Cricetulus griseus: one gene and its partners. The protein of the gene in region 7 interacts with the protein of the main gene of each other region in a pairwise test. Links are inferred from orthologs where the notes say so. Each region holds a gene or a part of one and is shown on either strand. Other genes may lie near its edges.

What was found.
Region 1: the proteins of Card9 (region 7) and Ssx2ip interact in binary tests that used the Homo sapiens proteins (3 or more experiments, as listed by UniProt). The two-hybrid records come from large-scale screens. The link is inferred for Cricetulus griseus from reciprocal best matches to the Homo sapiens genes CARD9 and SSX2IP.
Region 2: the proteins of Card9 (region 7) and Fam161a interact in binary tests that used the Homo sapiens proteins (3 or more experiments, as listed by UniProt). The two-hybrid records come from large-scale screens. The link is inferred for Cricetulus griseus from reciprocal best matches to the Homo sapiens genes CARD9 and FAM161A.
Region 3: the proteins of Card9 (region 7) and Meox2 interact in binary tests that used the Homo sapiens proteins (3 or more experiments, as listed by UniProt). The two-hybrid records come from large-scale screens. The link is inferred for Cricetulus griseus from reciprocal best matches to the Homo sapiens genes CARD9 and MEOX2.
Region 4: the proteins of Card9 (region 7) and dual specificity protein phosphatase 13 interact in binary tests that used the Homo sapiens proteins (3 or more experiments, as listed by UniProt). The two-hybrid records come from large-scale screens. The link is inferred for Cricetulus griseus from reciprocal best matches to the Homo sapiens genes CARD9 and DUSP13B.
Region 5: the proteins of Card9 (region 7) and Mfap1 interact in binary tests that used the Homo sapiens proteins (3 or more experiments, as listed by UniProt). The two-hybrid records come from large-scale screens. The link is inferred for Cricetulus griseus from reciprocal best matches to the Homo sapiens genes CARD9 and MFAP1.
Region 6: the proteins of Card9 (region 7) and Tle5 interact in binary tests that used the Homo sapiens proteins (3 or more experiments, as listed by UniProt). The two-hybrid records come from large-scale screens. The link is inferred for Cricetulus griseus from reciprocal best matches to the Homo sapiens genes CARD9 and TLE5.

What each region holds. Positions count from the first base shown.
Region 1 is NW_023276806.1:12,740,447-12,743,946, reverse strand, and holds part of Ssx2ip (afadin- and alpha-actinin-binding protein), read left to right. Parts: intron 1-327; coding exon 328-403; intron 404-479; coding exon 480-660; intron 661-3,500. UniProt on the Homo sapiens protein: Belongs to an adhesion system, which plays a role in the organization of homotypic, interneuronal and heterotypic cell-cell adherens junctions (AJs).
Region 2 is NW_023276807.1:83,744,674-83,748,173, forward strand, and holds part of Fam161a (protein FAM161A), read right to left. Parts: intron 1,906-3,500; coding exon 757-1,905; intron 403-756; coding exon 235-402; exon of another isoform or gene 1-234. UniProt on the Homo sapiens protein: Involved in ciliogenesis.
Region 3 is NC_048598.1:164,594,808-164,599,103, reverse strand, and holds the start of Meox2 (homeobox protein MOX-2), read left to right. Parts: upstream 1-1,496; coding exon 1,497-2,010; intron 2,011-4,296. UniProt on the Homo sapiens protein: Mesodermal transcription factor that plays a key role in somitogenesis and somitogenesis and limb muscle differentiation. Required during limb development for normal appendicular muscle formation and for the normal regulation of myogenic genes.
Region 4 is NW_023276807.1:199,229,323-199,233,253, forward strand, and holds the start of dual specificity protein phosphatase 13, read left to right. Parts: upstream 1-1,131; 5' UTR 1,132-1,530; coding exon 1,531-1,617; intron 1,618-2,510; coding exon 2,511-2,705; intron 2,706-3,931. UniProt on the Homo sapiens protein: Dual specificity phosphatase that dephosphorylates MAPK8/JNK and MAPK14/p38, but not MAPK1/ERK2, in vitro. Exhibits intrinsic phosphatase activity towards both phospho-seryl/threonyl and -tyrosyl residues, with similar specific activities in vitro.
Region 5 is NC_048599.1:56,944,767-56,948,266, reverse strand, and holds part of Mfap1 (microfibrillar-associated protein 1), read right to left. Parts: coding exon 3,392-3,500; intron 2,786-3,391; coding exon 2,598-2,785; intron 1-2,597. UniProt on the Homo sapiens protein: Involved in pre-mRNA splicing as a component of the spliceosome.
Region 6 is NC_048598.1:102,312,835-102,314,987, reverse strand, and holds part of Tle5 (TLE family member 5), read right to left. Parts: intron 784-2,153; coding exon 720-783; intron 234-719; coding exon 189-233; intron 1-188. UniProt on the Homo sapiens protein: Transcriptional corepressor. Acts as a dominant repressor towards other family members. Inhibits NF-kappa-B-regulated gene expression. May be required for the initiation and maintenance of the differentiated state.
Region 7 is NC_048599.1:137,744,308-137,747,807, forward strand, and holds part of Card9 (caspase recruitment domain-containing protein 9), read right to left. Parts: coding exon 3,472-3,500; intron 3,027-3,471; coding exon 2,889-3,026; intron 2,693-2,888; exon of another isoform or gene 2,117-2,692; coding exon 1,812-2,116; intron 1,734-1,811; coding exon 1,554-1,733; coding exon of another isoform or gene 1,470-1,553; coding exon 1,326-1,469; intron 1,000-1,325; coding exon 874-999; intron 1-873. UniProt on the Homo sapiens protein: Adapter protein that plays a key role in innate immune response against fungi by forming signaling complexes downstream of C-type lectin receptors.

The DNA of each region.
Region 1 (3,500 bases), on a different chromosome or scaffold from region 7:
CCCTGTATCCTTAAGTAATGTCATGTACAGATACTGTGTTCCCTCTGTGAGTACATCCCTGTATCCTTAAGTAACACCATATACAGATACAGTGTTCCCTCTGTGAGTACATCCCTGTATCCTTAAGTACTAGAGGGTATGTCTCTCCTTCCCTCTGGCCAGGGAAAAAGTAAGGTTAGCATTGGAGAAGCTTGACAAACCCCAGGTTATTCGAAGGGCCCTGACCTGTGTTCCAGGTCAGCTTCAGTCAGACCCTCATGTGTCTCATGTGTGATAGGGTTTTAAACATGTGGTAGAGATTGATTATGTTTGTGCTTACATTTGTAGCCATGGACGTTTTAAATTATGTGGGTCGAGCTGATGGAAAACGAGGCTCGTGGAGGACTGATAAGACAGAAGCCAGGTACAGACGTGTAGCCTGCAATGTGGCCTGGGTTTGCTGTGGCCATGTGTTCTCACACGAGTGGTTTCTCCCCCAGGAATGAAGATGAAATGTACAAACTTCTGCTGAATGACTATGAGTGCCGCCAGAAGCAGATCCTAACGGAGAACGCTGAGCTGAAGAAGGTCCTGCAGCAGATGAAGAAGGAGATGATTTCTCTTCTCTCGCCCCAGAAGAAGAAACCCAGGGAAAGAGCAGAGGACGGCACAGGCACTGCTGTAAGTGTTCCTCTCCAGCCTCAGCCCAGCGGCTAACCCACGCCATGCAAACCCCGGTTCTCCCTGAGGGCTCTGCTCTGCCGTCTGTAGTCACGACAGCTGAAAACTGCCCTGCACATCTCCAGGCACATCCTGGAAGGCATCTGGAGATGACCATCTGGTGCTTCATGAGCATCATCTTGTTCATATTTCTCCTGGAGGAGATGATTCAGTGTTATAAGGCTTAAAATGTTACAATAATCTGACTATACTTTAATTTTACCCATCTTAGATGCTAGCACAGCGTACACAGCAGGAATCAGATTGGATTTGTGTCTGCACTCAGGCACCGTGCCGTATGTGATGGTCTTCACCCCTGTTGTCTCTTTGGAACTAAAGAAACATTCAGTCCACACCTTTATTGAAGCTTTATTGTTCTAAGTCCTGAAAAGACAAAGCTAAGGTTTTGACAGTTCCCTCAAGAAGCACTTTGGGAAGGGGTAGACAAGTAGAGATATGGTTACCACATGCGCAAAGTGTGGTGGCTGTTGGCTGCTCAGTCAAAGAAGACATCACAAAGAGGGTGGCTGTGGAGTGGCTTCTTCCACAATGAGTAGATGCTCTCATGGAGAAAACGGAGGAGTGCCTTCTTGACTCAAGTGCCTGATGTAGGAATCCAAGTTCACAGTGGTGAAAATTGGAAGATGGCAGTTTGATAGAAGGTCTGTCAACTGCCAGCCAGGCCACCAAAGTACATTTTGTAAGCCTGTGTTCAAGGATTATTTATTTTGTGGGCTCTTAAATTGGCCATCTGAGAAGTCCATTTAAATATCCTTAATACACAGGACACAATCCTTTGTGACCCAAAGTGGATGCCAGGAACTGTAGATAGTTCCAGAACAAATCGTAGGTGTCATGCTCTTCCTGTGTATATACCTTTGAGAAAGTCTGATTTCTAAGCCAGTACAATAAGATTAGAGTCAGCAACTAATATTACAGCAATGTATGGTATTGGATGTTAACATACGGTCTTCCTCCTCAGAGTTCTCCTTTAGAACAGGGTACCACTCTGTTCCTCTACAGCTTCTGACTTAACACCTCTGTAAACTTTGGCTTTGCTCTCAAAGTCTGTTACTTTGAGCCAGTTGTGAGCTTTGACCAACATAGGTTATATCACTTTTGAGGTCTCTTCGGGGTTGGCCAGTACTTTACTAGTCATCAGAAATGGGAAGGAAACCAGGAGTGCCTTCCTGCTTCTTCAGGTGGGGTGATGTCCCTGGTGATGACATCCCTGGTGATGACATCCCCAGTGGTTCCTCACAATTCAAAGCTAAAGGAAGTCCAAAGCATTTTTCCTATTGTTAAAAGATTATTTTTCTACTTCTTTTTCTCAAGATTTAGGTAATATTACCATTCTTTCAGTGAAAATCTTAGGACAGAATAGCAAGAATAATTAGACTCTTGGTGCTAGGTATCTTTTGGATTTCACTTGTATTTGGCTTGTATCATAGCCAAAATATGGGTTTGGTTTTGTTTAGGTTTTTCAAGATGGGATTTCTTTGTGTTACCCTGGCTGTCCTGGACCCTACCAGGCTGGCCTCGAACTCACAGAGATCCGCCTGCCTCTGCCTCCTGAGTGCTGGGATTAAAGGCGTGTACCATTACCTCCTGGCTTGTTTGGTTTTGGTTTTGTTTGTTTGTTTTTATAAGTCTTTTGATTGTAGATTTTTATTCAATCTGGGAAACAGGTAGTAATTTTTTTTATTATTTGTTGTTTTGAAACTGGATTTTGCTTGCATAGTCTAGGCTAGCCCAGAACTTAAAAATCTCTCTGCTTTCACCTTCCTGGTACTGGGATTTCAGGCATGTGCAGTCACTCCTGGCTATTAAGGTTTTTGAAATTTTAAAATATACTTTATTGGGGGTGTGGTATGGAGATCAGAGGACAACTTGTGGAAGTCAGTGTCGTCTTCCACCATTGCATCAGATGGGTCCCAGGTGTTGAACTCAGGTCATCCAGGTTGGTGGCAGGTGCCTTTACCATCTCCTGACCTGATCAGTGTTAACAGCAGGTTTGGTTTGTTTTTCTTTGTTTTTTGTTTGTTTGTTTGTTTGTTTTGAGACAGGGTTTCTCTGTGGCTTTGGAGGCTGTCCTGGAACTAGCTCTTGTAGACCAGGCTGGTCTCGAACTCACAGAGATCCACCTGCCTCCCGAGTGCTGGGACTAAAGGTGTGTGCCACCACCGCCAGGTTTGTAATCAGGGTGTAGCACCTGATTAAATCCCTCCTGCTCCACAAGCTGCAGCTTTAAGTATAGCATGATGCTGCAGCTGGGAAATTCTAAATTGGATCTCCCAAGACAGCGCAGCGGGAATCAAGCCACACAAAAATATTTCATAAGTAAATTACTTTCAGATTGTGCATACAAGGTACATTTGAAATAGAGTTCATGTTTAGGCTTATATCATACTTCTAACACATACACATAAGCAGACAGACAGAAGAGACAGATACTGTAAAATCCCAAAGTATCTTAAATCCCAAGTGCTCAGGCCCCAAGTGTCTGGTGAGGGATGCTTAGTCTGTAGTCTAAGAGACTTTGAAATGGGTTACAGGCCCATAGCTCCTGGAGACCAATGATGGCAAGAACAGTCACTGAGCCATCTGCTAAGCCTTAATCACCCGCTCCGCTTAGCTGGATCTGCTACCCCAGTGCTGATGTCACAGTGTCTGCTTAGACCTGACCTCTGCTACCCCAGTGCTGACGTCACAGCGTCTGCTTAGACCTGACCTCTGCTACCCCAGTGCTGACGTCACAGCGTCTGCTTAGACCTGACCTCTGCTACCCCAGTGCTGACGTC
Region 2 (3,500 bases), on a different chromosome or scaffold from region 7:
TGTATGAAAAGTTGAGTAAAAACAAAAATTATTTAAATACATAAATACATAAAGCTGCCACACCATTTTCATATCTAGGTATTCACTGGCTAAAAAGGAAGGAAGGAAAAGCAAGGAAAGGGAAGGGAAGGGAAGGGGAGAGGAGAGGAGGGGAAGAGAGGGGAGGGGAGGGGAGGGAAGAGAAGAGGCTGAGTTTGGAAGTCAACGTTTTCGTTCAGGACTCTCCCGAGATACCTGAGCTGGTTTACTCTGGATTTAGACATCTGGGCTAAGCCCTGATGTGAGTCATAAGCCTTAACCCGGGTTGCCACGAGTTTCTGCAATTCTTTCATTCTTTGCTTCTGTTTAGTTAGGATCCGATTTCTCTCTTCTTCCAACATTTTCTTTTCCTCAAGTGATTTCCTGAGGGCAACAAACTAAGGCTTAATTCCCTTTAAGCCAAGGAGAAAGTTGTCCAGCAAAGGTTTAACCTGGGATAACTCAGAGGCTGAGAAAAAAAGGCAACCTTTTGACCAAAATCTGACTCATGTCATTGGAAATCCAAGAGACACTGATGGTATAAACTTGTCTATGCCCAGGAAACACAGAAATCACATTCGTTTCTTAGGAGAGCATTCCTAGCAAATGATATCCTACCGTATTGTACAATACCTTACAGAGAAGTCAGCAATTTCAGATTTACCAAGCTAAAACCCCCCAGGGCTGTATATGCCAGCACAGTGACCACATGTCAGACAGCGCACACCCAGGGCTTACCTGATGGCTTGTTCCCGCCCTCGGGAAGACAGGGTAGGCATCGGAGGGCTGCACCGGCAAGGCCTGGGCTTTGTGCATGCACTTCTTACTGGTGACTTAAGCCTTGGAGATGGATGAGGCCAGAGTATTTCTTTTAGATTTTCTTCATCTGCTCTAAGGTCTGCCAAGACCTTCTGTCTTTTAGCAGAGTCACAAGAGTATTCATGAAGACCACACTGTTTACAAAGAGTTGAGTGTTTCTGAAAACTGGGTTCTGAGGAGGACTCCTTCCATTGTTTCTCAGCAAAATTTCCATCATCAGGGCACAGGCACTTGCACTTGTGTCTACCCCTTGGCTTTCCAGGACTTCGGGGGACCCTGAAATGTCCCTGGCCCTGCCTACAAGGCCAGGACGAATTCTGCAGCAGTTCTCGGGCCTTCAGCTGCGTCCTGATGTCCCTATAGAACTCGTCATCTTTTGACTTGTCATTTGCAGCTGACCTGTAAATTGAACGAGGCACAGGTCTGGCTTTAAACCACTTCGTCTTCCTTTTAGACTTAAAAAGGTCTCTCAGCTGCTTTTCACGGATTGCTTGCTTCTCTTCCTCCCTGGCAATGAACTTAAATGGCTTCTGGGAGGCCAGGAGCGCGGCTTTGCTCTTCTCCTTGGAGGTCCTCCTCCGCTCTTCATTCTGCCTGACCATATCCTCATAAAATGGTTGCAGTATGCAGGAGGGGGCAGGATTGGCTCGGAATTTCTTCTTACACTCCACATCGTCATCGTCATCCCTCTTGAGCAGTTTCTGTCGACTCTGGGGATCTGGCCTTGCTTTCTGGGCAGCCTCTCTCTTCTTCTGCTCTCTAACTGTCATCTGAAAGGGCACAGGCACCGTCACTCTGGGCACCCAGGGTTTTTGTTTCTTCCTTGTTTTCTTAGATGTTTGGACGTCAGAGTCATACTGCATATAATCTTCTACAGAAAAGTCAGTCCACATGTTGTTGATGAGCTCCTTGGCGTAGGCTGTCATTCTGCTTTCCCCGGGGGCCTCTCTCTCCAGGCTGGGCAGCTCCTCGTCAGAAGTAGTGGACAGGGAGGGCGACTGGCCTATGTCAGGCTCTGAATACGATGTCACTAAGCCAGGGTGAGGGCAGTTCTGTTCCGATACAGAACTAAGGAAGAAGAAGAAGAAGAAGAAGAAGAAGAAGAAGAAGAAGAAGAAGAAGAAGAAGAAGAAGAAGAAGAAGAAAAATTAGGGCACACTTTCAATTTTATACAGCCAAATAGTAGGATTAAAGTAATTACAGATTTTCTAAGATGAACGGATAACCAGCTGTATAAGAGAGTAGCTGTATAAGGATCATGAAAATTATCGTTTGTATTTAGAATAGAGCTGAGAGAGGATATGACTTATCTAAGCAACTCACTTTCCAGAGAAGGGAGCTGAGGCGCCAGCTGCTCCCCATGCCTCACTTCTACTTATCCCAGAGTCACCATCTTGAATGTGTCTGACCACGTCACTCCTACCTGAAGCATTCCTCTTTGCTCTAAGTCTGAACTGACAATCAGTCAGGACTAGCCTGCTGCTCCCCCCTTCCCTCCCCTAGCCACCGTTCTTAGAGTCCTTTCCCACCGTGCCTGGTACACACAGTTGCTTCTGTCTCGAAGACTACTCCTTGCTTCCTATATCTGCTATTCCTATTCCTCTACCAAGTTTGAACTGAGTTGGGCATGCAAGTGCATGCTAATGGAGGCCAAGACTGGAAGGATATGGAGTTCAAGACCAGCCTCAGTGAGAGCCTGTTGAACATGCATTCAGGGTTTGATCTCCAGCATGGTTTGGAAACAAAATTGAACTTATGGATGACATTCTTGTTGAAAAATGCTTTCCTGCCTCCCACCAGCAACTGAGCATGACCAGCTGCTCCTGTTTCTGAGGCACTGGAGTGTCATGTTGTACCACCACCTCTCTGGGTGTCAGATCTTAGATAGGCCTGGCACACAGGAGATGCACAGATAGCTAACCAACCGGATTAGGTAAATGATCAGCTTACAGTTTCAAAAAAAAGCAAGTTCACAGGAGAGATGAACCTTGAAACTAGATTGATTAAAAAAAAAAAAAAAAAAAAGGAACTAAAAACTTGTATCTTAAAACTTGTAGCTCATGTTAACCTATTCTTAAAATTAAACTTTAATTTTCATTAAGAAGGCCCACCTGGTTGGGCATGGTGGTGGATGCCTTTATTCCCAGCATTCAGGAGGCAGAGGTAGACGAATTTCTGTGAGTTTGAGGCCAGCCTGGTCTACAGAGCAAGTTCCAGGACAGCCAGGGCTACACGGAGAGACTTGATCTTAAACAACAAAAGGCCCAGCTCAAACAAGCATGGCTTTGTACAACAGAAGTTCTAGCGTCTGGGAGGTGGAGGTGGGGGTGGGGGGTAGGTAGGAGTTCAAGGCTATCCTTGGTCACACTGCAAGTTTGAGGCCAATCTGGGCTCTATGAGACTCTGTCTCAAAAGGAGAGAGAAAAAAATGGGCATGCTGGCTCATGCTTGTAACCTCAGTGCTTGTGAAGCTGAGGCAGGAGGACTGCTGAAAGTTGAGGTCATAAGGGAATATGGTAAGTTCTAAGACCCATCCTGGACTATATATAGTAAAGATCATGTTTCAAAAATAAAAAAAAGAGTAAATAAGCAAAGCAGCCCAGACTAAATATTTTGCTACATATCTGTAAGCATAAGTAAAGCGAGAAAATACAGGTGAAGGA
Region 3 (4,296 bases), on a different chromosome or scaffold from region 7:
ATAGTGGCACACTCAGAATGTGGGTAAACGACAGGACCCACAGTAAAGTCCCTAGGCTAGTGGCTGTGTCAAACCCAGCCTATCCCCAGCTCTCCAAAATCCACCAGTGGCAAGTTGTGTAGTTCTTTTCCAGGAGGAGACTGTAAACTGGGGGAACTGAACAGTCCTAGCAGAGAGAACTGGAGAGTGTTCAGTGTGGTGTCTGCTTACAACAGACAAGCGGTGAGAAACAGAAAGGGTGAAAAGAGCACCTCAGACAGAAAAAGACAATGTTTGTCCGGAAGGATTAGAGGGGGCTGTCGATTGGCTCCTAAAGAGTTAAACTGGGAGCACATTTCATTTGACATTGCTTCAGATTATCACTGACCTAGGAAAACTTTCGGTGAGCTAATGGTTAGGAAATTGAGCGAGCTGGACTAGTAAAGAGAGGTGGGAGGAGGGTCTGAAAAAGGAGGAAAGAGACACAAGTTGGAGCAGCACTTGTGTGATGCCAGGGCATCAGAAATTGAGTCCATCTCTGCTTCAAGCTTTCCATCCCTCACTCAACCAGGTACCTTTCTTTTCCGCACTTAGAACAGCTTTATGCTATCATTGGGGCACAGCCCTGAAACTTCCAACCTGGCATCAGTTTTATTTTATTTTATTTTATTTTATTTTATCTTTAACAACCTATCCTCAGACAACTGAAAGGGGAAAACCATGTTGCGCTCCCGGGCGCGGGAACTGCGAGTATCGGAGTTTGAAAAGCTAGACTGCTCTAGCCTTTTCCCTTCTCTTGAATTCTCATAAGTTCTCCTGGTCCGCAAGGTCAGGGAGCAGTTCCGGAGCTCCTGCAGGTGACTCCCACCCCTACCCCCACCAAGAGCTGAAAGAGACTCGGGACGGGACACTTGGTGCTGGCTTAGCGAGACTGAGAGTGGGTGCGCGCCTGGCCATTGGGAGCCTATGGGACAGATCGAGGTGGCCCTGCTTATTAAGGCTCTGGACTCTCCACTGGCTGTCGTGGAAGCTCCCAGGGCCGGGCGGGCGTGGAGCAGCCGCTCCTGTCCTGCCAGCAGTTGGGAACTGGAAATGAGAGAGCATGGTGGCGCTGAGTGAGCGGGAGTTTTGGAGAGAGTTTGCATGTGGTCAGCTCTGGGCTCCTAAGCCAGCCCCCAGCTCACATTACACTCTATTTATAACCTCTCTGAGCCATTTCCCCCCCGTGAAAGCAGTTCTCTGGGACCACCTTCTTTTGGCTTCCACCTCTCCCACATTTGACATCTGAGCAGCTGCGAGGGAAGCTCCTCCAGGTCCCAGTGTTTATATGTGCAGGAGACTGGCCGCTAAGGCTCTGGACTGGGATTAGCCAGCTCTGCTCAAAGGCGCGACTCTTAGGGAGTGTGTGAGTGTGGGGGGAAAAAAGAGTTCTAGGATTTCCAGTGAAAAGTCACAGAGCTTGGTGGCCTTTGGGACCATCGTGAAGTCTTCTGCCTGGAAGTCCAGACTTGCATGCCATGGAACACCCCCTCTTTGGCTGCCTGCGCAGCCCGCACGCCACAGCACAAGGCTTGCACCCTTTCTCGCAGTCTTCTCTGGCCCTCCATGGAAGATCTGACCACATGTCCTACCCCGAACTCTCCACATCTTCCTCGTCTTGCATAATCGCGGGATACCCCAACGAGGAGAGCATGTTTGCCAGCCAGCATCACAGGGGGCACCACCACCACCACCATCACCACCATCACCACCACCAGCAGCAGCAGCACCAGGCTCTGCAGAGCAACTGGCACCTCCCGCAGATGTCCTCCCCGCCTAGCGCGGCTCGGCACAGCCTGTGCCTGCAGCCCGACTCGGGAGGGCCTCCGGAGCTGGGGAACAGCCCTCCGGTCCTGTGTTCCAACTCATCCAGTCTGGGTTCCAGCACCCCGACCGGGGCCGCGTGCGCACCAGGGGACTATGGCCGCCAAGCGCTGTCACCCGCGGATGTAGAAAAGAGAAGTGGCAGCAAGAGGAAAAGCGACAGCTCAGGTGAGTGCGGGCAGAGCACCTCTAAGGAGAGTGTTCCCTGGGCTGGGAAGGGGCAGGGATTTGCGAGAAGGTTCTCACAGACAAACTAAGGAATACCTAGCTCTTCCAGTCTCAGTGGCCTGGCCGAATTCGTCCTTGCAGCTTCGGCCCTGTAATTTGGGAGCACGTGTTTCGCTGAGGTTAATATATCTACGTCCAGCCCCTTCAAAGCCCTACAAGACCATAAACTAGTTTTCCAGCGGCGGTGAAAAAAGAGCGAGTGACAGTATGCGAAATCGGTTAAGGAGCATGGCGCTCCATCCACGAGTTGGGAGGGGTGTGAGCCTTGGGATGTTGCATCGGCTGGGCGTTCATGCCTGTGTGCATGCATGCGCTTCTTGGTTTTTCCCTTACAATTTCCCAATTCTGAACAGCTCGAGTTTTCCCATCCTTAACTGGATTTCTAGACTATTGCTCAATATCTTGAACTTTAACTGGGATTTGACAAAATACTCGAAAGAAAAGTTTTATTTTTTTCTTTTTTTAACGTTTCGCTTTCAGAGTTCCGTAAATAGCATTCTACTTAAAATAGTAATAATTTTAAAAAGCATTTAACTTATTTGCCGAAAAAGGCACTATCTAGAAATCTAGAAGTATTCAAGAAATACATCTAAAAATCGTGAATAAATAAATGGATGAGGATTTGAAGAAAGGTCATTCTTGATTAGACTCAGGTGAGGCTATCCTATGGGAAAAAAACAAACAAAAACAAAACAAACAAAAAAATCCCTGAACTTCGAAAGTGGAAAGTAAAAGCCTTCCTTGTTTGAGTAGAGTTTTGAGATGCTCCGGAGAGCACAAGAGCAGCTCGGACAGTGGTGGGAGAAGATGCAGCAGAGTGAACAGCGAAAGTGTGGATTACTTGAGCAGCTAAAGCAAAGGTTTCTCCCCAGTGGTTTCCAGGGCCTGAAAGTTCAGTAGCAAGTGCATTGTGGCAGTTCAGAGAAACTGAGTTTCTAGACAGCACATAACGCCCTTAGCTATAGTTCTCATTATTAAGATGTTTCTCTTTTTCTTCTCCTTCTTCATCCCCTCCTCCTCCTCCTTTTTAATTGCATCTTGCTCTGAAGGAACATGGCAACCTGGGTACATACTTTGGAAGATGTCACTTAACTAAAAAAAAAAAAAGTTTGCATCTATTTAATCTTTTGTGTTAGTCTATGGAGATTTAGGAAATGTGAATCTGGGCATTGGAAATAATGGAAAAGAATGTAGCATGTTAGGCAATTTAGTCCAGGTGTTCTGCAGTGTATGGCAGTAACTGCTGTGTATTTTAAATCATGTTGAAAAATGACAGAAACTTTTCTTGGCCTCCTTGTGGGGTGACCCTTACCAACCTGATGGTTGAACTTTTATTTTCCTAGGTCGGGGATGACTTTTTAATGCTCCACAATGATTAGCTGTGTCTAAGCAATTTACCAGCACTGTCATTGATTTGCAGTGGTTATCTTTAACTACATAGGAAATTCTAAGCTATTGAAAAGATACCAGTGAAAACGTTAGAATGCACTGGGGTTCCCCAGGCTGGGCATTTATGAACTGGAGTGCTTGGATGGCCTCAGCAGGTTGGTAGCTACCACAGCAAGAGCCAGAAGCACTTTTTCTTTCTGCAAGGGGAAACCATGGCCAGCTTCTTAGCTGAATCAATGCCCTAAAGATTATTTATGCACTCGAAGGAGTTTTTGTTGGGCCACAGTTATTTTTAGTTGCAGAAATGGAGAGTAGGACTAAAAAATTTACATCCTTAAGTTATTTTCATAAAAACCGACTTAAAATTGACTAACAGTCGTTTCCATCACATTTACCGATGGAAAATAACCACACAGCAAAGGGAAGCTTGTTTTCATGTTGTGAATCTCATTTTAGAACATAGAAACAAGCAAACAGAATAGAAATTTGTGTCAACCGGGGGTGTAGTAACGCTTGACAAGAACGGGAAGTATGATCATTAGCAAGGATACTATCATGGGGACCAACGTAGAAAGAATGTTTCCATTGATAGGCCATCACAGGCAAGCATCAGTTGTCTTGGTACACTTTGAAAATAAAATCTATATGTTCAATCTCTGAGTTAACATCGATTAGATCATAGGTAAGTTTAACTCCAAGCCATCTATCGCCTTTTTCAGTGAACATTCAACTGAAGATCAAGTCATCTGATACTCTTGTGTAAACATTTTGACTTACTAGAGGATAAAGTAACATAGAAAATAGTTATAATACTGTTCTTTTATCAACGCATAAGCC
Region 4 (3,931 bases), on a different chromosome or scaffold from region 7:
GGGAGGCAGAGGCAAGTGGATCTCTGCAATTTGGAGGCCATCCTGATTTACAGAGTGAGTTCTAGGATAGCCAGGGCAACACAGAAAACCCTATCTCAAAAAACAAAAAACAAAAAAAAAAAACAAAAAACAAAAACAGATGGAGAAAGTGAGACCAAATTGCAAGGCCATAATGAATTACGAGCAGCCATGTAGCTGGAAGCCAGGTCTCACAAACATCAGAACAATTCTTACTCTGCAACAGGCAGCCCTGGGGAAGGACCACATGGTACCCAGAGATCTGCCCTAAAGTACCTCCAAATGAACAAAACAAAACACCCAGGATACAACAGGCCTTGAGAGGCCTTGAGGTCCTTACTGTATGTTCATCTTGGGAAAACAGCCATGCCCATTTTCTCTGTTACCCTGGGCAAGCCAGTGTCTTCTGGGTTTCTGTTTCCTCATTTTTTTGTGATGAGGGATTTGTCAAGGTTCATGTTGCTTTGTAATAGCCAACGCACTTTGACATTCTTTTTTTCTGCATCTGTTTATCCATCGCTTAGTCATTATTCATCCTGTGTCAGGGACAGAACTAAAATCTAGGAAGTCAGACTTAAGTAAGTCAAGGCCCCGACTCTTGTAGAACCTGCTGATCAAACAGTGACAAATCCTGATATGTTACTGATACTAGAGGGCAAATGTGCAGAGCTATGTAAACGCCCAATCCAGAGGACCACTGTGTTGGGGATTTCCCTCTACAGCAGTTTCCCTAGGTCATGCAAGGACTAATCGCTTGGTGATTCAAGTGATACCTTGAGTGGTGAGGAAAGCTGATGTGACTTGATGGATGAGCAAAGGCCAGTCAGACCAAGATTAGAGAAAAGGCCAGAGGCTGTGACAGCTCCAAGGCACTGAAAGTCTACCTGTGGTTTGCAAAGCTGAGGTTTGGAGTAGGTTCTGATTGAGGGGAGGTGCGTGGTCACTATCTCTAGTCCTCAGAGGCTTGTTTTTATTTTTATTTTTTTATTTTTTCGAGACCTCTGGGTTTTTTTGTTTGTTTTGTTTTGTTTGTTTTTTCTGTGTAGCCCTGGCTGTCCCTGAATAATCTCTGTAGAGCAGGCTAGCCTCGAACTCAGAGATCTGTCTGCCGCCTGCCTCTGCCTCCTGGGTACAGGGACTAAAGGCATGCACCACCACCTAGCCTCAAAGGCTTTTGTAAGTCATGTTGAGGGTTGGGACTGTAGTTCAAGACAGACATTAGTCTATGCATTTGAAATATCAGGAAACTGAGGCCCATAAAGGCTGAGGGACTTGCACAGGTTCCCATAATATACCCCAGACAGATTCGGGAATGGAATTTGGGTTTGGGCCCCATTCTTAGGGTTGGCTGGCTGGTGGGAAGGAGTCAATCACTTGAATGTCTTCTTCAGCTAAGGTGCTAGTGCACTGTGTGGTGGGTGTGAGCCGCTCTGCCACCCTGGTCTTGGCTTACCTCATGCTGCACCAGCAGCTATCCTTGCAGCAGGCAGTGATCACTGTGAAGGAGCGCCGATGGATATTCCCCAATCGTGGCTTCCTCCGCCAGCTCTGCCGGCTGGACCAGCAACTTCGGGGTGCAGGCCAGAGCTAAGGAGCCAGGTAAGGAAGGGCAAGGAGACAAAGCTGAATGTGGCTGGCAGTGAGAAATCAGCTGAGGGCCTGGACAATGGAGCCTGAGATGAAGCTGGTTGGCAGGGCTGTGTGTGGCTGAAAGTGAGGACTCACTCCCTTTCCCAAGCTGGTGGGTTCCCCTTACCCATCCAGTACCTGGCAAGCCATCCTCTCACCTGTATTCTTTTCCCCCACCCCTCAATTTTTTTTTAAAGATTTTATTTATTTATTATGCATACAACATTCTGCTTCCATGTATATCTGCACACCAGAAGAGGGCACCAGATCTCATAACGGATGATTGTGAGCCAGACAGCAGCAGAGCCAGCTGTCACACACTTCCTCTGAAATGCACTGGTGTTAGTAACCTGTGTAGGCAGCAAGCTCACTGCCTGCTCTTTCTCCTCTAGACAGGAATGGGAAACAAGGCAGAGCAGCAGATTTTGCATCATGTCCAACCACTCCACTTCCTTAGCCTGGAGTCTCAGACACCCTGGCCTCTGACCTCAGCATCTTGCCCATCAGACAGCTGGTCTGGGGGAAGTTGGTTGAGCAGGGCTGCACCATTGCCCAATTTGTGGAAATGACATCTACAAAGTTGTCTGTGTGTGTCATGAGAGCCTCCAGAGATTTGCAGCACACAGACTGTACAACTGTCCCGAGCAACTCCACAGCTGAGGCCCTGGGGTGAGATGGCTGTGCAAAGAGACCATCTCCCTCTGTTAGCCCTTGATGTCAAACCTACTCTCATCATTTCTCCTGGTACCTGTATCCACTTGATCTTGAAGCAGGCTAGGTAATAGCTCTAGCTCCTGTCCTGACATGTCGCAGCCAGCCTAGACCTTTGTTTATCTGTAACATGAAGGTTTTCTCTTCTCCAGAGCCAGTCCTTACTCTCAGCCACCAGGCTCTGCCAGTTTGCTACTCTGGCCCTGGCCCTGATGGCAGCCTTAGTACAGGTGGATGCACCGAAGAGGAAAAGGGCCCGGTGTGGGGCTCACCTACAAGCCTGCTGCTTCATCAACTTCCTCCAGCCTTCCGCACACCCTCTCAGCCGCTGTCTTCAGTCTCCACAGGTGGGAGTGCGCTGTCTGTCAGCTGAGGTCATGTGACAGCTTTCCCCAGGTTCCCTGATGGGGCTAGTGAGGATGACTCTCAATGATCTCCCCATCTCTCCTTGATGCTCAAGGAGAGCTCAGTGGCTGAGTCTTAGCTCCTGTGTGTGTGTGTGTGTGTGTGTGTGTGTGTGTGTGTGTGTGTGTGTGTGTGTGTGTTAGTATTATTATGGTATGGGTGTGTATGGCTAGAGCATCTGGATTAAAAGGAAAGGTTTTTAAAAATAATTATTTAACTTTATTTTATGTGCATTGGTGTGAAGGTGTCAGATCCACTGGAACTGGAGTTACAAATAGTTGTGAGCTGCCATGTGGGTGCTGGGAATTGAACCTGGGCCCTCTGGAAGAACAAACAGTGCTCTTAACCACTGAGCATCTCTCCAGCCCCCAAAGGAGTGGTTTTTAATGTCAAATCTAGTGAACCCTCACTAGGCATACCCCTTGGGCATCCCTGTCTTTGAGGGAGGGAGAGGGCAGTGAAGAGGAGAGCTGCTCCTAGATAAAACCCCTGACCACACACACCTGCTCTGTAATCCCCTTACACCTTTGTCTGTCTGTGATACCTCGACTGAATCTGCCAGATCTTACTTCTGAGCTAGTCACACCCAAATAGAGGCTTCTAGGACTATACACTGATGTTTGCCTGGCACCAGTATGCATGTGCCTTGAGTTATTTCATCTCTGTCCTCCGGCATACAGCCTTTTGACTCGTGACTTCTACCCTTGCTCTGACTAACCTTTGGAAGCCAAAGGAGTTTGGGGGAGGGAGGAGACTGTTTGTCTGTCTGTCTGTTTTGTGCATCGATGGGATGGAACTCAGGGCTTCAACCATACTAGCTAAGTGCGTTAGCACTGAGCAACACCTCTCAGCCCTGAAGGGAGGTGTGTTTTGTTTTGTTTTGTTTTGTTTTGTTTTATGTATATTTTGTTTTGTTTTTTAGAAAGGGTCTCACTCTGTAGTCCTGGCTGGCCTAGAACATTCTGCAGACCAGGCTGTCCTTGAACTCACAGAGCTCTTCTTGCCTCTGCCTCCTGACTGCTGGGATTAAAGGCATGTGCCACAACCACCCAGATCTAAAGGAAAATTTTAAGATTGTTTGCTTGATATTTTTTCTTTTCCCTGCCCAGCTAGCCAAATACACTCATGCTACACATCACAGACAAACCCTCAGAGCTTCCAGTATGCC
Region 5 (3,500 bases), about 81 Mb from region 7:
AATCTACCAACTGAGCTGTTATTTCTTTTTCTTTTTAATTTATTTATTATGTATACAGTGTTCTGCCCAGGCCAGAAGAGGACACCAGGTAGAATTACAAATGGTTGTGTGTCACCATGTGGTTGCTGGGAATAGAACTCAGGATCTCTGGAAGAGCAGCCAGTGCTCTTAACCTCTGAGCCATCTCTCCAGCCCCCTGAGCTTTATTTCTATCCCTAAATACAGCATGACTTTTTTTCCCTCTTCTGGTAATAGGATTTGAACCCTGGATTTGATACAAGAGGCAAATGCTTTACTACTTAGTCGTATCTTCTGCTGTTTTATTTTATTATCATTATTACAAAAAAAAAAATAGCAGGGCAGTGGTGGCACACGCCTTTAATCCCAGCACTTGGGAGGCAGAGGCAGGCGGATCTCTGTGAGTTCCAGGCCAGCCCGGTCTCCAGAGTAGACTCCAAAGCTACACAGAGAAACCCTGTCTCGAAAAACCAAAAAAAAAAAAAAAACCACAAAAAACTATGAGGCTATCCTGGTCTATGATACATGTTCCAGGACAGCTAGGACTACATAGAGAAAACCCTGTCTCAATTACCCTCTCCCATACAAAAAAAAAAAAAAAAAACTTTAAAAAATTTCATGTACACCTTTAATCTGCACTTAGGAGGCAGAGACAGGTGGATCTCAGTGAGTTTGAGGCCAGCCTGGTCTACAAAGCAAATTACAGGACAGTAAGGACTGTTACACACAGAAGCTGTCTTGAAACCACGTCCCCCCCCAAAAAAAAACCAAAAAACCAAAAAAACAAAAAAAAAAAAACCCAAAACACAAAAAACATGTGTTTGGATGCCTTGTCTACATGCATGTCTGTATACTGAGTTATCTGCCTGATATCCATAGAGGCCAGAACCTCTTCTGGTTCTGAAACCCATGAAATTGGAGTCACATACAGTTATGAGTCACTGTATGGCTCTTGGATATTGAACCCAGGTCTTTTAGAAGAGCAGCAAGAACTATTAATCTCTCTTTTTTCGAGACAAAGTTTCTATGGCTATCCTGGAACTCACTCTGTAGACCAGGCTGGCCTTAAACTCATAGAGATCCACCTGCCTCTGCCTCCCAAGTGCTGGGATTACAGGCGTGCGCCACCACTGCCTAACAGAACTATTAATCTCTGAGCCATCTCTCCATATTAATATTTTGAGTGTACTATGTATAGGAATGTATGGTATGTGTACATGATGGTGAAGCTCAGAGGACTTTTGGGAATTGCTTTTCTCCTTCACCATATGGGAACTGGAGATTAAGCTAGCTTCATCTCAGGTCTTTACAGCATCAAACTTCCCTTAATCATTTATCACTGACTCCAATAGGATTTAACAAGAATCCTATTGGGCTGACTGTAAAATAGGATTCCTAAGCATTAGGAAATAAAGAAATTTGTTTTATAAGCTTAATTTTGTGTTTAAAACATGATTTTCCCTGGCAATGTGTTAAAGCACTTTCCTAGCATATGCATGGGCTTCATCTCTAGTATCACTAAATCAAAAACAAAACCTCAACAAAAATTGATTTTGTAAGCCCAGCACTTAAGATTCTGAGGCAAGAGGATCACAAGTCTGAGACAGTCTAGGCCTCACAGTGAATCAGGCAGCATAGCCAGAGCATCTCAAAACACAAACATAGACACACCCGGATTACCTTTATGTTTCAGGATTATGTGATCACACCATGAACCATGAGATTGTGTTATTTAAATAAAATCAACCATAGGTCAAGAACAAGCAACTAGTTGACTGGAAGTAACCATAGAGAGTGAGGGAAAGTTGGGAGGTTGGAGAGAAAGGCACAAGAAGTAGAAGGGAGGGACATCCAGTTGGAGGAATTTTTGTTTCAGACAGGATAGGGGAAAAACAGAGAAGGAAGCAGCTGGGTGCTTTCTCTGCCTCTCTGAGCAAGTGGGTTTTCACTCCAGCATCTGGCTCCCAAGTCTTTACTGATAAAATAGAACGATAGAGACTTGGTTAAAAACAACACCTTTTGTTGCAGATCTGCAAACATCTGGCTTCTTCTCAGCACTTTTGCTATAGGGATAGGGCACTGGAAAGAAGACTTCCTTTACAGGAAAAAGTGGGATTCAGAACCTTTTATTGTCAGACTGGAACTTAATCATGTGGATTCTGTCCTTTTTTAAAAAATTTATTATTTATTATGTATACAGTGTTCTGCCTGCATGTATCCCTGCAGGCCAGAGGAGGGCATCGGATCTCATTACAGATGGTTGTAAACCACCTTGTGGTTGCTGGGAATTGAACTCAGGACCTCTGGAAGAGCAGCCAGTGCACTTAACCTCTGAGCCATATCTCCAGCCTGATTCTGTCCTGGTTTGACTAATTGTTCCCTTTTCCTCTGCTGGGGATTGAACCTAGGCCCTTGTGCATACTAAGCAAGCATTTATCACTGACCAATATCCCTAGTCTCCTTTGTGAGAATTAGCTAATTTTGTAGCTCAGAGTGGCCTTGAACTAGCAATCCTCTTACCTCAGTCTACTGAGTGGCTGGGAACACAGCCTGGCTTAGCAGGTGTGGCAGACACTTACTTTCTAATGAAGACAGGCTTAAGTCGAGGCTCCATTTCATCTTCACTGTCTGTGTACTCCTCATATTCAGACTCTGACTCCGACTCCTCCCCAGAGCGCCCTTCATCTTCTAATTCCATGACTTCCATCTCTTCATTTTTCCTCTCCTGTGCTCGCTGACGCATCATGCCACGGCGCCGCTCTATTTCCTATATCAAGGCATACAGCTTAGCCAGTTATTCAAATGGCCTGTGCGTCAAGCTTGTTTTCTTGGTGATAATGACCAAATTCAGGGCTTTGTGCATAGCAAGTCTAGTCCTACTACTGAGCCCTCAGCATAGCTTTGATTTTGTCTTCAACAGGTTCAAGAAATTTTGACACGGTTAAGCATAATTCAGCATGATTTCATCTTCAGTCTTTATTTTTACTTACTTACTTAATTAATTAATTTATTTATTTGCTTTTTCGAGACAAGGTTTCTCTGTGGCTTTGGAGGCTGTCCTGGAACTAGCTCTTATAGACCAGGCTGGTCTCGAATTCACAGAAAAGTGTCTCTGAATGGACATTTGTTTGAAAGGCTTATTCATCATGGTCAAAGAGATCTGCCTGCCTCTGCCTCATTAGTACTGGGGGTTAAAGGTGTGTGCCACCACTGCCTGGCCTCATTTTCAGTTTCAACCCCAACAAACAGGAATCACAATCAGAGTTCAGACAGAAGTAGCAAATTTTGTACATTTATAGCCTCAACAAATCAGCACTGTTCTCAATTTTTTTCTTGTATCCTGGGGGAAAGAATTCCATATTATTCCTTTTACCTCATCATCAATTTCTTCCTCTTCTTCTTCGCTGCTATCTTCTCGTTCCATGCGCCAGGCATCTCCTTCTACTTCTGAATCACTTTCTCCTACCACTTCAGGTTCTACT
Region 6 (2,153 bases), on a different chromosome or scaffold from region 7:
CTCAGTACCTGGGGGGACACTTGGAGGGGATGGGGACAGGGGCTAAGGCCATGCCTGTGGGCCACTGTGGCCCACCAAAAAGGGCTAAGGCATATGTGGGAATACCTCTGGGGCTAACAGGAGTGGCCTTAATTTTCCGTAATGAGTCACAGGGCGCGAGGTGTTGGAGGAGGGAAACTGAGGCTCACCTGTTTATGCATCTCAATGTTCAATCCATAAGACATCTCGTAGTACTGTGGGTGGAGAGAAGGTGTGTCATGGATCAAAGAGGTGTGGCCTTCTGGCTGGCCTGACTCTCTCTGCGTATCCCAGCATTCCTGTGCACCCCCATCCAGTGAGCTACTATTTGTTCTTCAAGACCCCTGCCAGAATGCCCTAAGACCCCCAACAACCTCCCCTGCATGGAATTACAGGTCCTGTGACGGTTGGGAGGGCTCTGGTCATGGAAGGGTTAAGGAATGCCTAGCCGGATGGCCTGGAGGGAGGAGGACTGGAGGTGGCTTCCCCCTTGCTTCCTTCCGGATGGCTGGCTGAATGTGGCTGGCTTCCATAGCCGCCTCCTCCTCCTGCAGCCAAGGACAGCAGGGTCCTGGCAGGCCCAGGATGCGAGCCAGTGGTTTGGCACCTAGGCCACTACCTGGGCTGGCAGCCAGGCCACCCTTGGCTGTGGGGAGTCTGGGGTCACCCACCCCAGCCCCGGGTCCCCAGGGGAACTTTACCATGACGTAATGCCGCTGCATCTCTGATTTCTCACTGGCCAGCTTGTCGCACTCCAGCTTCAGGCTGAGGACACACAAGGGAAGCTGAGGCCCCCTGGCCCGCCTTCTGGTGGGTCAAGCTAAAACCTTTTTGGTTTGTGTTTTTGAGACAGGGTCTTATGTAGTCCAGGCTAGCTTTCTACTCACTGAGGAACTAAGGATGACCCTGAACTCCTGATCCTCTGACCTCAGCCTCCTGCTTGGTAGGTGGCCAGCCTAGAGATGCTGACTGAGAGTGGCCAGACACCACAAATGGCTGCATTTAAGGACACCCCTGGGCTTTCTGCAATCCTGGGCAGGTAGGCAGGGTTGCCTCAATGTCCCCCACGGTGAAATTATGACAGCATTCTCAATGATGTAACAACCTCTGAGGCAGAGGTGCCTTTGTGAGCAACTGATGAGGCCTGCAGAACTCACCCTCCATCTTAACATGTGACTCAGTGAGCACCAGACAGGGTGAGTGAGCAGTTTAAGGTCACACAGCCTGCAGTAACCAAAGACTCAAACCTGGGAATTCTCCACACAGAGACAGATGTTAGTTAGACTGAGGCAGCCCAGGGCTAAGGGTGACAGAGCGGGACAGGCCCCCAAAGGGTCCTGGTGTCAGGAACCTTCTTCACAGCGAGCCCTGATGTGTTCCCTAGTGGTATCTCATGCTGTGATTCTAAGCCAGCTGCTCTACCTCTGGGCCCCAGTTGCTTCTTCTTCTTTGAAGTGGTGGTAAGGAGTCAGCATTGTCAAAGGGTCTTTGGCTCCCTAACACAGGCCCTGAGGCCACCAGGCCTGGAAACCCATGAGGAGGAAGGGAAGAGAGGACCCCCAAAGCTGTTCTCTGAACTTCACACTGCATTGTGGCATGCCCCCCCCCCATAAAAGCAGTAAGAAATATTTCTTCTTAAATCCAGAAAACAAACAAGCAAAAAAACAGAAACAAAAACATTTTAGAACATGGGAGTGTGAAACAGGAGGATAACCATGAGTTCTACCCTATCTAAAAAATAAAAATCCCTGCATTCAGAGGCAGAGGCAAGCAGATCTCTGTGAGTTTGAGGCCAGCCAGGGATACACAGAGAAACCCTGTTTCTAAAAACCAAACCAAACCAAAACAACAACAAAACCAAAAACAAATAAAAGGAAGAAAATAAATAAATAAATAAATAAATAAAAAGCAGCTGCAGGCATCTCAGACTGTTACTGGACCAGGATCCCACCCTGGCTAGTTTAGCCTGCTTGCACAGCCGACCCTGTTCTCACAAACTGAGTATCAAGGTGAATGGGAACCACCAGGGCTCAGCTGCTCAAGCGACTTCGGCTCAAACACAAGCCCCAGAGTTCGAATCCCAGCTCCAGACTCGGGATGCCAGGGCTTGTGTTACCTGGGGAAACTCGGTCGGG
Region 7 (3,500 bases):
TCTGTGAGTTGGAGGCCAGCCTGGTCTACAAAGTGAGTTCCAGGACAGCCAAGATGACACAGAGAAACACTGTCTCAAAAAAACAAAAAACAAACAAAGAACATGATTGATGGCTGTTCTTAAAATGAATACCATGCTTCTTCTTTTGTTTCCTGGGAGACAGTTTCATTCATTTCCCAAACTGGCCTAAAATTTACTATGTATCTGAGGATGGCCTTGAATTTTTGATCCTCCTGACTCTACCTCCAAAGCCTGGAATTACAGGCATGTGCCACCAAAGTTGGCTCAGTTGCTACTACTTTTTGTTGTTTTTGGTTTTTTGAGACCGGGTCTACCATTGTAGCCCAAACTGGCTTGGAACTCACTGTGTAATCCAGGCTGGCCTTGAATTCACAGTAGTTATTTTGTTTCAACCTCCAAATGCTGGGAGTACAGGTATGAGCTACCACTACTACTACTGCTGCCTATTCCAGGGGGTTACCACCAGCTCTTCTACCCAATACTGTGGCCTCCACCTCCCACCTGTGTAGCTAGCAACTTCCTCTCCTCTATTGAAGTTTCCAACCCTGACCTTCCCCTAACCAGCACAGGCGCCACTGGGACTCCCCTGCTACACTGGCCCTTCCTGTGAGAGAGGCAGATGTTCCTGTCTTTGTACAAGAGGCTCCAGGTTCTATCTTTCAACATTGCCAAGTTACCTCAGGCATAAATAGATAGGTAGGTAGGTAGATAGATAGATAGATAGATAGATAGATAGATAGATAGATAGATAGATAGATAAAGTAATGAGTTGACCACAGCTTCAAAAGCCTCTACACCGGCACCCAAACACTCCTCTCATTCTCATCTTCTGAACACAAATGCAACACCTACCTGGTCCCGCTCAATGGAGACTTCCTCCATCTGCTGCAGGATAGCCTCGATCCGGTCCTTGTACATCTTGGCATCCTTACGCAAGGCCAGGCACTGCAGCTCGAACATCTCCCTTTCCTCCACGCACTACAGGAAGCACCACTCAGCCTCACCCACTCTCCACTGCTCACCTGGCCCTGGGCTGGACTCAGGCAACACCTTCAGAGCACTCAAGATCGGGCTAGCCGGGATGATGGGAAGGGCACTGCAGTCCCAGGCCACAGCAGGCTTGCCTGGTCTGAGACCATGGCCTCAGCCACCACCGATCACACGGTAAACTGAAAGGATGACCCTAGCTGTGGACATGACACCACTGTGCACCAGGAATTGGTGAAGGGGAGACAGTGAGTTACATTCCAGACCCTGCCTTCCAGATACCCAGTGGGTACTGCTTGCCTGCCCTGCCCTCTCACCCGGGTCCGGAGGGCCTCAGCTTGGCGGAGGTCCTTGCGTAGGGAGAAGATGGTGTTGGCCTGCTCTTGGTGCTCCTGCAGTGCCTGGCGCCAGTCCTCCTGCAGCACTTGAATGTAGGGGCTGTTCCTGTCTAGCTTGCCCTCCTGGAGGTGGCAAAGGGCAACAAGCCTGGCCATTGCAGTTGTACCATCTGGTGTGCCCCTGGTGTGCACTGCTGGTAGCCCTACCTGTACAGAGACCTCCAGCTCCTGCACCCGGGCCTGCAGCAAGTCCTTTTCCTGCTGCAGCTCCCACATCAGCTCCTGGCTGGGCCGCTGCTCCATAGCATGCCTGAGCTTCAGGGTGTGTTTTCGCTCCACCTTGCAATCATCCTCTGCCTTCATGAGGCTGTGCCTGAGCCGGTCCACCTGTGGGTGGTCCAGTCAGCAGCAGCCTCCTCCAGACACCCCCACCCCCACCCCCCTGCTGGTGGGACAAGCGATCACCTCGAGCTGCAGGTCCCGGTTCCGCATGAGCGCTGAGCCCTTCTCTTCACTCAGATGTGCTAGGCGCATGGCCAGGTCATAGTTCTCATCCTTGCAGCGCTTCAGCTCTCGGCTGCTCAGCTCACACTCTTCCTTGAGCCGCTGCACACGCTCCTGGTGCTTGCGCAGGAGGCTGTCCTTTACCCGAAGCTCCTTGATGAAGTCGTCCTTGGAGCTCAGAAGTGCCGTCAGGTCCTGAACCTTCTTCTGCAGCTTCATGACCTCTGTCATCAGCAGCTGCGTCAGGCCTGACTCCCCTGATGCATCTGGGGACCATGCAGTGTCAGATGGAGCCTGTGGCTGTCACCTGCAGACCCTGTGCTTGTCCTTGTCCAGAAGTATGTGCTTGAAGACCAGCAGTTTGAGGGGCAGAGGGAGCACTACTGGTCTTCCACAGAGAGAAAGCTGGTGGGAAGGCTCCCTGGGGACTGTTCACCAGGCCCAGTCTGCCTTGCTGCCCCTCACATATGAACTGACTGAGATTCTAACTTATCACATGCCAGGACTCCAGCTGGCCCTCTCTCTCTCTCTCTCTCTCTCTCTCTCTTTTTCTCTCTCTTTTCCCTGAGAAAAGGTCTCACTATGTAGTCCAGGGTGGCCTCTAACTCAGAGATCTGCCTGCTTCTCCCTGGGATTAAAGGTGTGTGCCAGCATGCCTGGCCCTCTGTCTACCTTTATAAAGATCTTTATGAGATGAATGATAGGGATGTGGACTGATAGGGATGTGGCTATTCCATCAGTTCACCTCTGTCCCCTCTAGAAACTGTGGGATTCTGTCCTTAGGTGGTAACTGGGCCCCATGGAATTAATACTTTATAGAGGGGTCACCTCTTCTTAGTGGATGTTCTTAGGATGGGAGTAGGAAAGGCAGAGAAGGGAGCCCTGACCCTGAGCACCTGAGAGTAGTCACTGGTACCACTACTCTGATATGTACCACAGGGCTTGTATTAGACTCATTCATTCTGATGTAATCACAGAAGCCAGGACCTGGTGGCACCTGACTGCACTCACAGCACCCACCCACTCTGTGCCTCTCACCAATGATCATGGAGAAGACTCGTGCTGGCTCCTTGCCCGTGACTTTCCTGTATAATTGAGGGTAATAGAGTTCCAGACTCTCAAGGAAGGCTACATAGCCCTTGTGGCCTGTCCGCTGCAGGATGTCCAGTAGCACACCTACAGATGGAAGAGACAGAGTTGAGGCCAAGGTCTGGGTATGTAGAAGCTCTGGGGCCCAGGTGGGACAGTGGATGACTGCTCTGAGTAGAGGTGCCAAGCTGTGGACCCCCAGCCCTCGTTTCTGGGCCCTTCCTAGCAGAGGGATCTGGGGCATTGCATAAGGCACCCTGCAGGTCTCAGTCAAGGCAGAGTAAGGTGCTGCCTTCACTCTTGTGGCTCTCTCACAGCCTGAACAATGGTAGGAACTCCCCTTCCCTCCTCTGGGTAGCAGCAGGTAGGCATGATGAGAGGAGAGAAGGCTCTCATGCATACATCCTAGGTGTAGATGGAGCTGGGTGGGGACAAGGCCAGGGCGGCACAGCATGTAGCAGCCTCTGGCCAGGTGTCTGTGGGGACCATGAGGGACTAGGGACAGCCCTGCTGGTGTGGGAGCAGCCCTCACCCACTTTCCGCTTGCGAATGACCAGGTTG